Linked DNA regions of Macaca fascicularis. The protein of the gene in region 3 purifies or fractionates together with the protein of the main gene of each other region. This does not show direct contact. Links are inferred from orthologs where the notes say so. Each region holds a gene or a part of one and is shown on either strand. Other genes may lie near its edges.

What was found.
Region 1: the proteins of SRPRB (region 3) and STX18 purify together in Homo sapiens (affinity purification with mass spectrometry; 3 studies listed by BioGRID and IntAct, counting the BioPlex papers as one, with this or other methods). This does not show direct contact. The link is inferred for Macaca fascicularis from reciprocal best matches to the Homo sapiens genes SRPRB and STX18.
Region 2: the proteins of SRPRB (region 3) and SRPRA purify together in Homo sapiens (affinity purification with mass spectrometry; 6 studies listed by BioGRID and IntAct, counting the BioPlex papers as one, with this or other methods). This does not show direct contact. The link is inferred for Macaca fascicularis from reciprocal best matches to the Homo sapiens genes SRPRB and SRPRA.

Annotation. Positions count from the first base shown.
Region 1 is NC_088379.1:8,633,571-8,637,217, reverse strand, and holds part of STX18 (syntaxin-18), read right to left. Parts: intron 3,222-3,647; coding exon 3,163-3,221; intron 1,604-3,162; coding exon 1,534-1,603; intron 1-1,533. UniProt on the Homo sapiens protein: Syntaxin that may be involved in targeting and fusion of Golgi-derived retrograde transport vesicles with the ER.
Region 2 is NC_088388.1:124,828,760-124,832,345, reverse strand, and holds the end of SRPRA (signal recognition particle receptor subunit alpha), read left to right. Parts: intron 1-108; coding exon 109-195; intron 196-493; coding exon 494-666; intron 667-761; coding exon 762-975; intron 976-1,386; coding exon 1,387-1,550; intron 1,551-1,638; coding exon 1,639-1,737; intron 1,738-1,883; coding exon 1,884-2,012; 3' UTR 2,013-2,983; downstream 2,984-3,586. UniProt on the Homo sapiens protein: Component of the signal recognition particle (SRP) complex receptor (SR). Ensures, in conjunction with the SRP complex, the correct targeting of the nascent secretory proteins to the endoplasmic reticulum membrane system.
Region 3 is NC_088376.1:36,714,504-36,718,915, reverse strand, and holds the start of SRPRB (signal recognition particle receptor subunit beta), read right to left. Parts: upstream 2,904-4,412; 5' UTR 2,870-2,903; coding exon 2,716-2,869; intron 2,179-2,715; coding exon 2,084-2,178; intron 1,017-2,083; coding exon 939-1,016; intron 1-938. UniProt on the Homo sapiens protein: Component of the signal recognition particle (SRP) complex receptor (SR). Ensures, in conjunction with the SRP complex, the correct targeting of the nascent secretory proteins to the endoplasmic reticulum membrane system.

The DNA.
Region 1 (3,647 bases), on a different chromosome or scaffold from region 3:
ACGGTGCTAGACGGCCTTATGAGCAGGAGTGCCTGCTTCTCTCCTCCTTTTGGCGGTGGTGAAGCTGCTTCCTAACACGGTCGGGTGGAATGAATGCTAGTGTGGGTTTTTAGAGAAACCTGACACATTTTAGGGAGGAAGGCAGCCTCTGGCCTCTATTCCCAGCAATGAATATTACCGAGATGGCTTTGCCCTGTCATCACCCCATTTTAGAGAATCTCGAAGTGTGAGCTAAGTGACCACTGCCAAGGTTCCAATGAGAGAATCAATATGAACTACAATGTAACACTGATGAAAAAAACAAGAAACACATATCGTTCCTCAGGACTTAGAAACTCCTGGTGGGCCGGGCCTGGTGGCTCATGCCTGTAATCCCAGCACTTTGGGAGGCCGAGACGGGTGGATCACCTGAAGTCAGGAGTTCGGGATCAGCCTGGCCAAGATGGTGAAACCCCGTCTCTACTAAACATACCAAAATTAGCCAGGCGTGGTGGCATGCCTGTAATCCCAGCTACTCGGGAGGCTGACTGAGGCAGGAGAATCGCTTGAACCCAGGAGGAGGTTGCAGTGAGCCAAGATCACAACACCACTCCAGCCTGGGTGACACAGCGAGACTCCGTCTCCAAAAAAAATAAAAAAAAATAAAAAAAGAAACTCCTGGTGAGCCAAGGCAAGGCTCTGCCTGTGCTCTGCACACCCCTTCCAGGCCCCCTGCAGCCGCTGGGAGGTTTGAAGCAGGGTAGTGTTATTCAAAAGAGCAACTCCTATGAACCCGAACTTCCAAACTGCTGTTAGACTTAATGTACCTCATTTACAATGATTTCACTCTGGCTGTGTGGTTTATGGAAAGTCATTTTGAGAGAAGTATTTTAAGTTAAGTAGTTTAACATACTAAGACAAAACGTTCCCATTGTCTTTGGGTGCTAAAAAGAAAAGGGCAAATTTATTAGGTCACTAAAAGTTTTGCCAGTTATTGGCTGGAAGAATTTCAGAAAATTGACTTGAAAAGAACAATCCTATTTCCCATGCAGGCACCATCCCTGAGGCGGCATGGACCTCGCACTGTGAGAGGCCTGGGCCTGAGCTCCTGTAACTCTACTGACAGAAAAGCAACTGCCCGTCAGCATCGTTCTGTAGTTCTCTCTCAAATGGAGAACAACCCTGCAGGGGTCACTCCAATCTATAGATGGAAACTGTTGCCTGGCCGGGCTACCTAGCTCACCCAGCACATCCAGAACCCTGACTGCCAGGCCTGGACTCTCCTCCCACATGCCACTGCATGCGCCACCACACGGCGTGGTCAGTGGGGCCAGTGGATCCCCTGTGGGGAGCTCCTCCTCCGTCACACGTGTGCAGAGGCAGCTCTGGGTAGTGAGAGCTTTGCCCTGAGGAGCTCTGCGCACGCACACCTGCTAGCAACACATGGCTCTGCTCCTGGCTGCGCAGAGCAGCAGCCTTTGGGAAAATGTCTCTCAAGTACATTCCCCTTTAAGTTAAAACGTACAGCTACTTTGTTTTTGTTTTTGTTTTTACCTGTTGCAAAACCTTTTCCGTGAATATCTCTTGGAGTCTGGAAATCTCAACCACTCTCCCTTCGATTTGCCTTCATAAAAAGAAGAATAGATTACATATTAACTATTAGTACTTGGTAATCTAACAGGACTGTTACACATTTCTAAAGAAATCCTGTCTTCTACATGAAGGTGGGAGAGACGGGGGAGCATACCATGTTGGCTGGGGGAAGAGATTGGAGAGGAAGGCAAACTCTCCTTACTGGGTCACCTTCCCTGTCTCCCGGTGTAGCCTAGCACGCTGGGCTTTTTGGAAGTCCACTCGACCATGCCAACTGAGCCCCAGTCCCAAGAGGTGGGTGTGGGCAGTGCCCTTTGCATTCTGTGTCACTGGTCAAGGACCGGGGAGGGTCTGGTTATGCCCCAGTTACAGAAAGCAGTCTCCAGTAAGTTCTCTGCCTAGCCTTGTCACCATGGTAACACATGGTGGGGATTCAGAAGGTCAGAATATGCTGATGATCCTGCTTTGTTACTGCTCAGCGGGTTAAAGAAAAAAGTGTATTTACCCTCAAACCAACTCCCTGTTCCAAGAAAAAAGCTCCTCTGATTCATTTAGAAAATGCCATGTCTTGGTTTGGCAATGGAGTGTTCTGTCGGATCGGAAACACTTGGGCTAGCCATCTTCCTGGTGTCAGGGGCAGCCTGGGCTACCCTGGGGGACAGGTGGGGGCCCATCTATTTACAAACGGAAGCTGGCCCAGGCTGAAGTTAACTGCTGTTCCAGCACAAAGCAGCGACAGGAAGTGGCAGGAGGCGAAAAGTGGTGGGAGCTGAGCTCCTGGCCAGGTGGAAGCAGACACGAATCCCAACAGTGTCACAGTGGCAGGAGGGCAGGGGAGGAGATGGGGGAAGAAAAGCCAGTGAGTATCTGGGCATGGGGGAGTAGCGGGGACGGACAGTGAAAGGTAGGCTGTTGGAGGAGGACTAGGAGGTCCATCTGAGGGCAGAAGGCGAAGAGCCCCTGGGAGGCTGACACCTACACTGAGAAAATCCTCAGGCTGTGTGAGTGCAGCATCAGGATTGATTTGATTTGGGGGACATGTCCACAATACAACAGGCTCTGCAAAGTCCCGGGCCTTACTTTCAGCATGCTGCAGGCCTTCCCACAGAAACTAGAGTTCAGTGGGTGCACGTGTGGGTGACCAAGGCCTTGCCTTCTGCATTCCTGACCCCCTGGGGGGTACAGGAGCAGGCAGACCCCAGTGGAGCCATTTGCAAAAGAGGGCTTCCCTTGGTCAGCTGTCCTTCACGAGGGCCCCATTTCATTTCAGAGTCGCTGCATGGAAACAGCCCAAATGGTGGTGGAAATTACACGCAGGTAATCTGCAGTCACTCCTGCATCTCTTGGGGTAGAAAGCATCTGGGCCCCCCGCAGCAGTGGCAGCAGGCGGGAGGTAACCCACAGGCCCACAGGCTGAGGGAGTTGTAGATTCAGGCCACATGCCCACCCCAGCCCTGTCAAAATGGCTGAGGGGGGCTGCACCAGCCCAGGGGCCCCATGTGGATGCCTGGGCACCAAGGTAAATAACGTTCCTAGTTCCTGGAAAGTTGTAAAGCAGGCTCTCAGCTCACAGAGGAGCCACAAACATACCTCACTTCATCAAACAAGCTGTTCATTTCACCAATGAGTCGCTGATTTTCCTGTTCAAACTGCGAGGAAACAAACACACTCAGGATGACATCATACTGAACTCAGGCAAGAGTCTAACAAGAATGCGGACCTGCGCTCCAGGAACCACTGGCAAAGCCCCCATTTCCAGCTGCAGCAACATGGTGGCCGGTGCCGGATGACCGAGAGCATTAGTGTGAACAACGCCCCTGCTTTCAGGAGAAACTTTTAAAACACAGCTGTGCTGCCTGGTAATCGACTTTTCCATCTCAACCACTGCACTCCAGGGGTGCAAGCTGACTGCTATGGCTGTAGCTGTATCTACTTATGCGCTCTCCCCTGGGCTCCCACGGCCAGCTTCCTGCCTCTGGTACCATTATTAAAAAAATTCTTTTGTTGTTGTTTTCTCTCATGAAGTATACTGAAGGACTACACATATTTTTTAATATGGAGAAGGATCTGGTGTG
Region 2 (3,586 bases), on a different chromosome or scaffold from region 3:
GTTCACGGGATACAGGTAATTGAGCGCAGACTCACTAGCGTTTCTCACCTGCACGATAAAGACTGGTTGTTGCTGACATGGAACTGACCTACCTGTCCCCCTCCTCAGCTAAGAACGTGGCTGCAGACATTGCCGTCCAGCTCTGTGAATCCGTTGCCAACAAGCTGGAAGGGAAGGTGATGGGGACGTTCAGCAGTAAGTACTGCCCTAAGTGAGAAAGTGCTTATGTGTACCAAGAGGTTAAGTGCACAGACCTCTGTTCTTACGAGGTATGTGACTTTTGGCAAAATCCTTAACCTCTAAACCTCTGTAACCTAGATTTTAAGGGTTATTGAGAGGATTAAATGAGTTAGTCCTTGTAATGTGCGTCTGTTCTGGATTTCTGGGAAAAGAGTCTAGTTAACTGTCTTAGTCCCCTTAGCTCAGAAAGGTGTTAGGCATTTTTGAGAGCATTCTTTACACAGCTGCAAACGTCCTCCACCTCCTCTTTCAGCGGTGACTTCCACAGTAAAGCAAGCCCTACAGGAGTCCCTGGTGCAGATTCTGCAGCCACAGCGTCGTGTAGACATGCTCCGGGACATCATGGACGCCCAGCGTCGCCAGCGCCCTTATGTCGTCACCTTCTGTGGTGTTAATGGAGTGGGGAAATCTACTAATCTTGCCAAGGTCAGTGCAGTTCCCCAGCCTGTCGCTGATATTTGTGTACTTCTCGTGTCTCAAAATCCTGGCTTTAGGTGACTTTTCTCACTTCTTTTTCACAGATTTCCTTCTGGTTGTTAGAGAATGGCTTCAGTGTCCTCATTGCTGCCTGTGATACATTTCGTGCCGGAGCTGTGGAGCAGCTGCGTACACACACCCGGCGTTTGAGTGCCCTACACCCTCCAGAGAAGCATGGTGGCCGCACCATGGTGCAGTTGTTTGAAAAGGGCTATGGCAAGGATGCTGCTGGCATTGCTATGGAAGCCATTGCTTTTGGTACAGTGCACAGGAAGTCGGGGGGCTTATTTGGGGTCCCTTTTCCTCCTTTGGTTCTCTTGGAATTTGCAGATCAGGCTTGTGCTACTACAGACTCGTTAATTACAGTAAAAAGTCAGATCAGTTACTTGCCATGCTCTGCTTTTGGGTAATAGATATAGTTGCAGGCAAAGTTAATACACCCTAACCAAAGAAGCCTGAATTTGGTCACCTTTATCCTGTTATCCTCCTTTTCCTGAACATGTTTGGTGATGGCCAAGCATACAATCAAGTTTGTCTCACATTACCTTGGAACCAAATCCAGGGCCCAAGACAGTGAACAGGTAGCCAAACTAGGATTTTCTGAAAGGAAGCTGGGAATGAGATTAGTTGTAGTCCAGGTTTTCAGAGTTGACCACTTTCTTTCTTTAGCACGTAACCAAGGCTTTGACGTGGTGCTGGTGGACACGGCGGGCCGCATGCAAGACAATGCCCCTCTGATGACTGCCCTGGCCAAACTCATTACTGTCAATACACCCGACTTGGTGCTGTTTGTAGGAGAAGCCTTAGTAGGCAATGAAGCCGTGGACCAGCTGGTGAGAGTGTGGGCCCAGTTCCCTTTACAACTTAAGCTTTAGTCAATGTACATGGTTCTTACACTTCTGTCACCTTTTTTCTTTCCAGGTCAAGTTCAATAGAGCCTTGGCTGACCATTCTATGGCTCAGACACCTCGGCTCATTGATGGCATTGTTCTTACCAAATTTGATACCATTGATGACAAGGTAAACGTGAGACTGGAGGGTGGAGTGGGCATCCTCCGCAAAGGAGCTGAGGCTGCAAGGAAGCCTTGGCTCCAGCGCTTCCTGTTCCTAAGAGGGCGAGTGAAAAGTGGGCTCGTGTTGATTGGCTGTCCCCTTTCTCCACTTAGGTGGGAGCTGCTATTTCTATGACGTACATCACAAGCAAACCCATCGTCTTTGTGGGCACCGGCCAGACCTACTGTGACCTACGCAGCCTCAATGCCAAGGCTGTGGTGGCTGCCCTCATGAAGGCTTAACATGGCTCTTGCCCAATACCAAATCGCCGCTTTCCCCACAAGCCCTTCTTCCTGTATCAAGAATGTGCTTTAGAGTATGTGAGCAACTTGTCTTCAGTGTAGTACAAAGGCAGAGCGAGGGGGCTTGTGGCTCCTTCCAACCCCATTCCCCGTTCAGCACAGCCGCCATCTGCAAGGAGGGCCTAATCATGTTAAAATCACTGCCCACTGACCCTCTCCCAGCAGGTCTCCCCCTTCCTACTCAGGCACCCCCTTCACTCTGCCTACATACTCAGTCTCATTACAGCTTTGACCAATGGTTGGAACCCAACACCAGAGCTTTGCTAATAATTAGTGTGGTCAGGAGCCGTCTGAGCCTAATGAGTCCCAGCTGCATTAGGTTAAGAGACTCTTCCAGAGCCAGCGCCAGGTCTTGAATGGCACCTCTCCCTAGGATACACAGCCTGCAGGTCCCCAGGACCTGGATGACACCCGCCTCACTGTGGCAGTGTATTGCCTGTTAATTGCTGCTAATTCTAATTCTGATGATGATTCCTACTCCATTGTTTACCCCAAAGCGTCAGCTAGGCTGGAGTGATTTGTTACAAATGAGCAAAAGATGAGTCCCTGCTTCCCTCAGAAATAAAGGGAGGTGAGCTGCAGGGTTGCATTGGGCTTCTCCGCCTCCCAACTCTTCCCATTCCCAGAATCCAGAAGTCAGCTTTGCATGTTCCCCTTCCTGGGAGGAAACCAATTGTGAGAAGGGTATATGTTGCCCCCTCCCCTCCCATCCTCCTAAGCAGTCCTGGCTTTTCCTCATCACTCCCCTCTACAGTGCCTGGTAGACAAGTGCTACGTTGAAGAATACAAACCTCTTGTTAAGACTTGTCCTGTAGCTTGATATTACAGATGTGCTATTAGTGCAATAAGGTGAAGGCTGTCTGCCCAGAGAAATAAGTAATTTATATAAGAAAATAAATTTCATAAATAAATTGCCTTTTAGGTCTTGGAGTTCTTTTATACAGGATTCAAAACTAAAATTCCACAACACACTAACTATAGTTCTAGGGCTTATATATGGTGAGGACAACAGAGCAGAAGTTTACTCCAAGGAATCAGGTAAGTAAACGGTTGTCCTAAGAATGAGATCACCCCAAGGTGAAAGATGTCAGAACCTTTAAAATTGGGGTTAGTAAAATTAAGCTTATTAGTTAGTACCGTGATGCAAGTTAGAGTCTTCTACAATGACTCTCAAAGTAGAGCCAGGGTCCTGGCAAGTAAATGAACAAGCTTTTAATACAGCTCAGTTATGTAAAATACTGTACACTGTAAAAGATCTAGAAAACTAGAGCTTCAAGTCATGTTTTAAAAAAGCCATTAAGCTTAATTGAAAAACCAAGTATAGAGTACAAAACTGCAACAAGAGCCACAGTGATTCCATGGCATCTAGACCCCGAGTCCATGCAGAGCTGCAGCCAGTCAGTGGAGGTATCACATTGGTGTGCTGTGCGGACACAAGCATGTCCAGCCTGGGGAGTGGGTCGGGAGCTGCATTTGGGTCCTGCTGTCACTTTTATTCTTGAACAGGCAGCAGA
Region 3 (4,412 bases):
CCACCATACCAGGCTGATTTTTGCATTTTTAGTAGAGACGGGATTTAATTATGTTGGCCAGGCTGGTCTTGAACGCCTGACCTCAAGTGATCTGCCTGCCTCGGCCTCCCAAAGTGCTGGGATTACAGGCATGAGCCACCAAGCCAGGACCCGTGATTCCTTATATTTGAAATATACTCCTATATACTCTGCAAGATATCCATTGCAGCACTGCTTGTAAAAACAAAGGTTATGATAACAAAACTAAATGTCTATTAACACGGTCCTGATTAAGTAAGAATTTAATTGTGTGGTATAGCAACAGAGTGGAGTACTATGCAGCTCATAAACCAACCAGGTGGTACTACGTATACAAATATAGGAGAATAAGAAAAGCCCAAGTCGTATCAGCTGTATGAAAAAAAATAATGGGCAGAACAGTATTTAAAAAGAAAAAACAATAAAGGATATACAGACATGTTTATATAAGCACAGAACATCTGGAAGGCTACACACAAAAAAAGTAAGTTACTGCTTCTAAGGAGAAGATGGGGTAGTGGGGAACGGAAAGCAAAAATTACTTTTCACCAAATATCCTTTCTAACCTTTTGAATTTTTGTACCACGTGCATGTATTACCTATTCAAAACATAAAAGGTTTAATGCCCACTCTTAAGAACTCACTGTAAAGTTGGAAAGAAGACACAGAAACAAAAAATAAGAATAAAATGTGATATAACATTACTGTACATTAAGGTACAACAATGCAGAGGAGGGCATGATTAAATCTACTGTACAGATTGTCAAGAGCAGAATTTGTCACAAAGAATATGTTTCTCCATAAAAATAAGCTACAAATGGTACTTACATCCTCAGATGAACTCATCCTAAAAATGTCCTTAACTGACACACCACAGTAAAGTAAGACTGTCAGACTCCAAAACTCCACAAACATCTTACCCTGTTATTGTTGACTCTGTATACAGCAGAGCTGTCAGTAATGGAAGTCTGAGTGTCTCTGTAAAGGCCTGTTAACAACTGTAAAAAAAACAAGATGGGAGATATTCAACATTTTAATAGCAAACCAAAATTGAGTTATATTATTCTAAGTCTCCCAGGTGTAAGGTTAAGTAAATGAATGCTGCTTGCAATAGGTGAAAAAGACCATATTAATATTTTTTACCTGTAGAAAAAAAAATCGAATTAATTGCAACTTTTACTCCTTAATGGTATAAAAATAACATTATTCTCAAAAGACAGTTAGTGGCCAAATTTCCCAATCTTCTGTAAAGATTTTTAACCATCAAAAATGATTTGAAGCCTGGGCAATGTGGCGAAATCTCATCTCTACAAAAAATATAAAAAATTAGACGGGCTTAGTGTCGCACGCCTGTAGTCCCAGCTACTCGGAAGCTGAGGTGGGAGAATCATCTGAGTCCCAGAAGTCAAGGCTGCAATGAGCGGAGATCTCGCCACTGTACCCCAGCCTGGGCATTGGAGCGAGACCCTGCCTCAAAAAAAAAAAAAAAAAAAAAAAAAAGATTTGAGCTATTTCTTGAATGGAAGGGAAATAATTTATACTCTCAGAAAGAAAAGTTAAAAAGCAGAAAACCTCTCCTATTCACCATGTTAAAACACACTGTTAAAAATACTAAATGTATTAAAAATAAATATTAGTAAAAAGAAGCTAACTAGCCCACTATGTCAAAGAAGGATCATCCTGTGAAAAAGTGTCTTTGATAAACTCTCATAAGAATTTGTTAACCAAGGAATGATAAACTGTAGACCACTGGCTTCTGTGCTTTCTGCTATTCTGGAATGAAACTAATTAAATAAAACCCTTAAATGTGATAAAGACTAAATATCAGCATCTGGCAAGGGCAAAAAAAAAAAAAGAAAGAAAAAAGAGGAAAAATGATCAACATTTCTCAATTATGGGTTTCTAAGAGTCTTTCTGTTCTCCCAAGTAAGTCAAGTAAATTTGGTAACTCTCAAATTTACCAGCATCAGCTTCTTTTAGAAAATAAACCATGAGATGACAGGAATACTGGGATGCTATACAATTTTCTATTAAGCTTAACAGGGGTGTAAATGAAATCATTTACCCTGACAAAGAGCAACGTTTTCCCGGAGTCACAAAGGCCAACAAGAAGAACAGCTCTCTGACTGCTCCTTCTGCTCCGGATTAACTTCCAGAAGACTGTGGAATAGAAAGAAAAACAACAGAAATTACGCCTTGGCAATCAGTATATGTGCATGGCTGGGGTGGGGAAATTCACAGAAGTCTGTGATGAAACACCTCATTCACCTGGAACTGACTTTTATCATAATGGTTACTATTGCTGTTGTTAGGGGCCCACTGAGCCGGGCGTGTCAACTGTCAACTTTTCTTTGCACTCCTTACTCTGACTGGGGACTCAAGTGCGATCTCACTACCTTGGTATAGGCTGAAAGTTGCTGTCAAGACCCTGAATCCTTGCACTGAGAACAGCGGAAGGTGGGGAATAGCGCACTCAAGCATGACAGGGAAGATGACGAAGAGCAATCCGCGCCCCAAAGACCAGGATGTAACTCCGGGGGTCGCCCGGGATCTCCCTTAACGCCCCGCTGCTGCCGCTGCTTCAGGCGAGAGGGTGGGGTGTAGACTGGGTGGGTCTCACCCTCCTGATGCCCTCAAGGCGCTCTCTCAGCCCGGACCTCTGCCCCGAACCCGCCATAACCACCGGCCGCCTTTTACCTAGCGTCAGCAGCACCGCAAGAACCGCCACCACTACTGACAACAGCGTTGGGTCCGTTTGCTGCAGCTCCTGCCGCAAGGAGTCTAGGTAGGGCTGGAAGGTGCCCCCAGCACCGCCGCCATCTGCCACCCGGCGCAAGTCCGCGGAAGCCATGGATGAGACGCGTGGTCTCTGTTACCGCAAAAGCGACGTGGCCCTACACTCTGCGCAGGCGCAGGGAGCAGAGCCTCACGCGAATGGTGGTTCCTAAGCCTTAGTCTCGCCCTCAGCCGCGGTGATCCCCAAGTGCCTGATGGGAGTTGTAGTTCTCTGGTACTCGGTCCTCCTGCAGAACGACAGGGGCAGACAGGTTATTGGTCGAGGGACACACACATCTTTGAAGATACGAGTCACTCGTCGTCACGTACGTTATGGCTGTTGAAAGAATGATGAAATCAATAAAATGAATGACTCCCGAAACTACCACTGAGGATTTCCTGACCGTCGCTAAGTGACGTGAGACTTGTGAAGAACTCAAGCATCCTACAAACATTTAATATTAATTTAATGTGGCAAGGGATGTGCCAGATGGATGCGCGGAGCGATGCGGGAATACATAATGGGACGCAGAGTCCATCATGAGTTCAGAGAAAAGCTTCTGGAAATTCGAACTGAGTCCTGAAGAACGAGTTAGCATGTGCGAGTGGTTAAAGGAAAAAGAGGTGCTGTGCAGAAGAAAATGAGTATAAGAAATGATGTGCGTGGGAAAGCTAACTAATTCAGTGCCCCTACACTGTCAATCTAGGGCTGCAAACTCAAACGTCTGCATTAAAGGAAGCAACTAGGAAAGTCAACGCCCAGGAGAGCTGGGGCTGTTGAAAACTGCAGAGGTTATTTCTGCTGAAAGTGGGGCCGACCCTATTCAGCCAGGTAGGTGTTGTGGGACCTAGGTGGCCAGTTCTTCCAGTTTTCAAGAGAAGCAATAAAGGCAGGTTTTTATGGGAAGTTTTCCACTTTTGGAATTTTGGTAGGTAATTGAAAGCATTCAAAAACTTGTGGCCCAAATAAAACACCAAAAGTGGCCAACCTCGAGGGTCCCAGTTCACAGTCTCTGTCATTAAACAGGTTGTCATTGTTTTAAAATGTACACATGATTTAATTTAATTGTATGACTGAGTAGAGACACGAAGATGTCAGTGTCACTGAAAGATTGAAAAAAGTTACTACAGTTCCACATTGCCATTGAAAAAGTTGTCAGAATCAAAATGGAGTCACTTTATTTATTTATTTATTTAAATCAGAAAAATGGAGCTGGTGAAAGGCCGTGGAGGGAGGGTTCTCATGCACTAATGCCTGATGACAAAAACTGTCACAGAAGACTGCAAAAACCACAACCGTGCACAAAGGGCATCGCAACCTTACACACAAAAAATATGTCTGTGAGGACAGCTACCCAGCAACTGCCTGTCCAGCCTATTACTGATGCTATCCTTGCTGTTTGATCCTTGTAGCCGAGGATAATTATCTCAAAACAGTTATGGAATCTGACTCATTTTTTCTTTAAAAATCTTTGTCTTCCTTTACACCTCCCTGAATGTGCACATAGTTGAAATGGCATACATATTCCCACTGCAATGCCTACTCGTGAATAAATGTTATTTTCTTTTAGAGCCTCCCTCTCTGCTTGTCATTTAGCTTGATAACACTCAGGGCCACA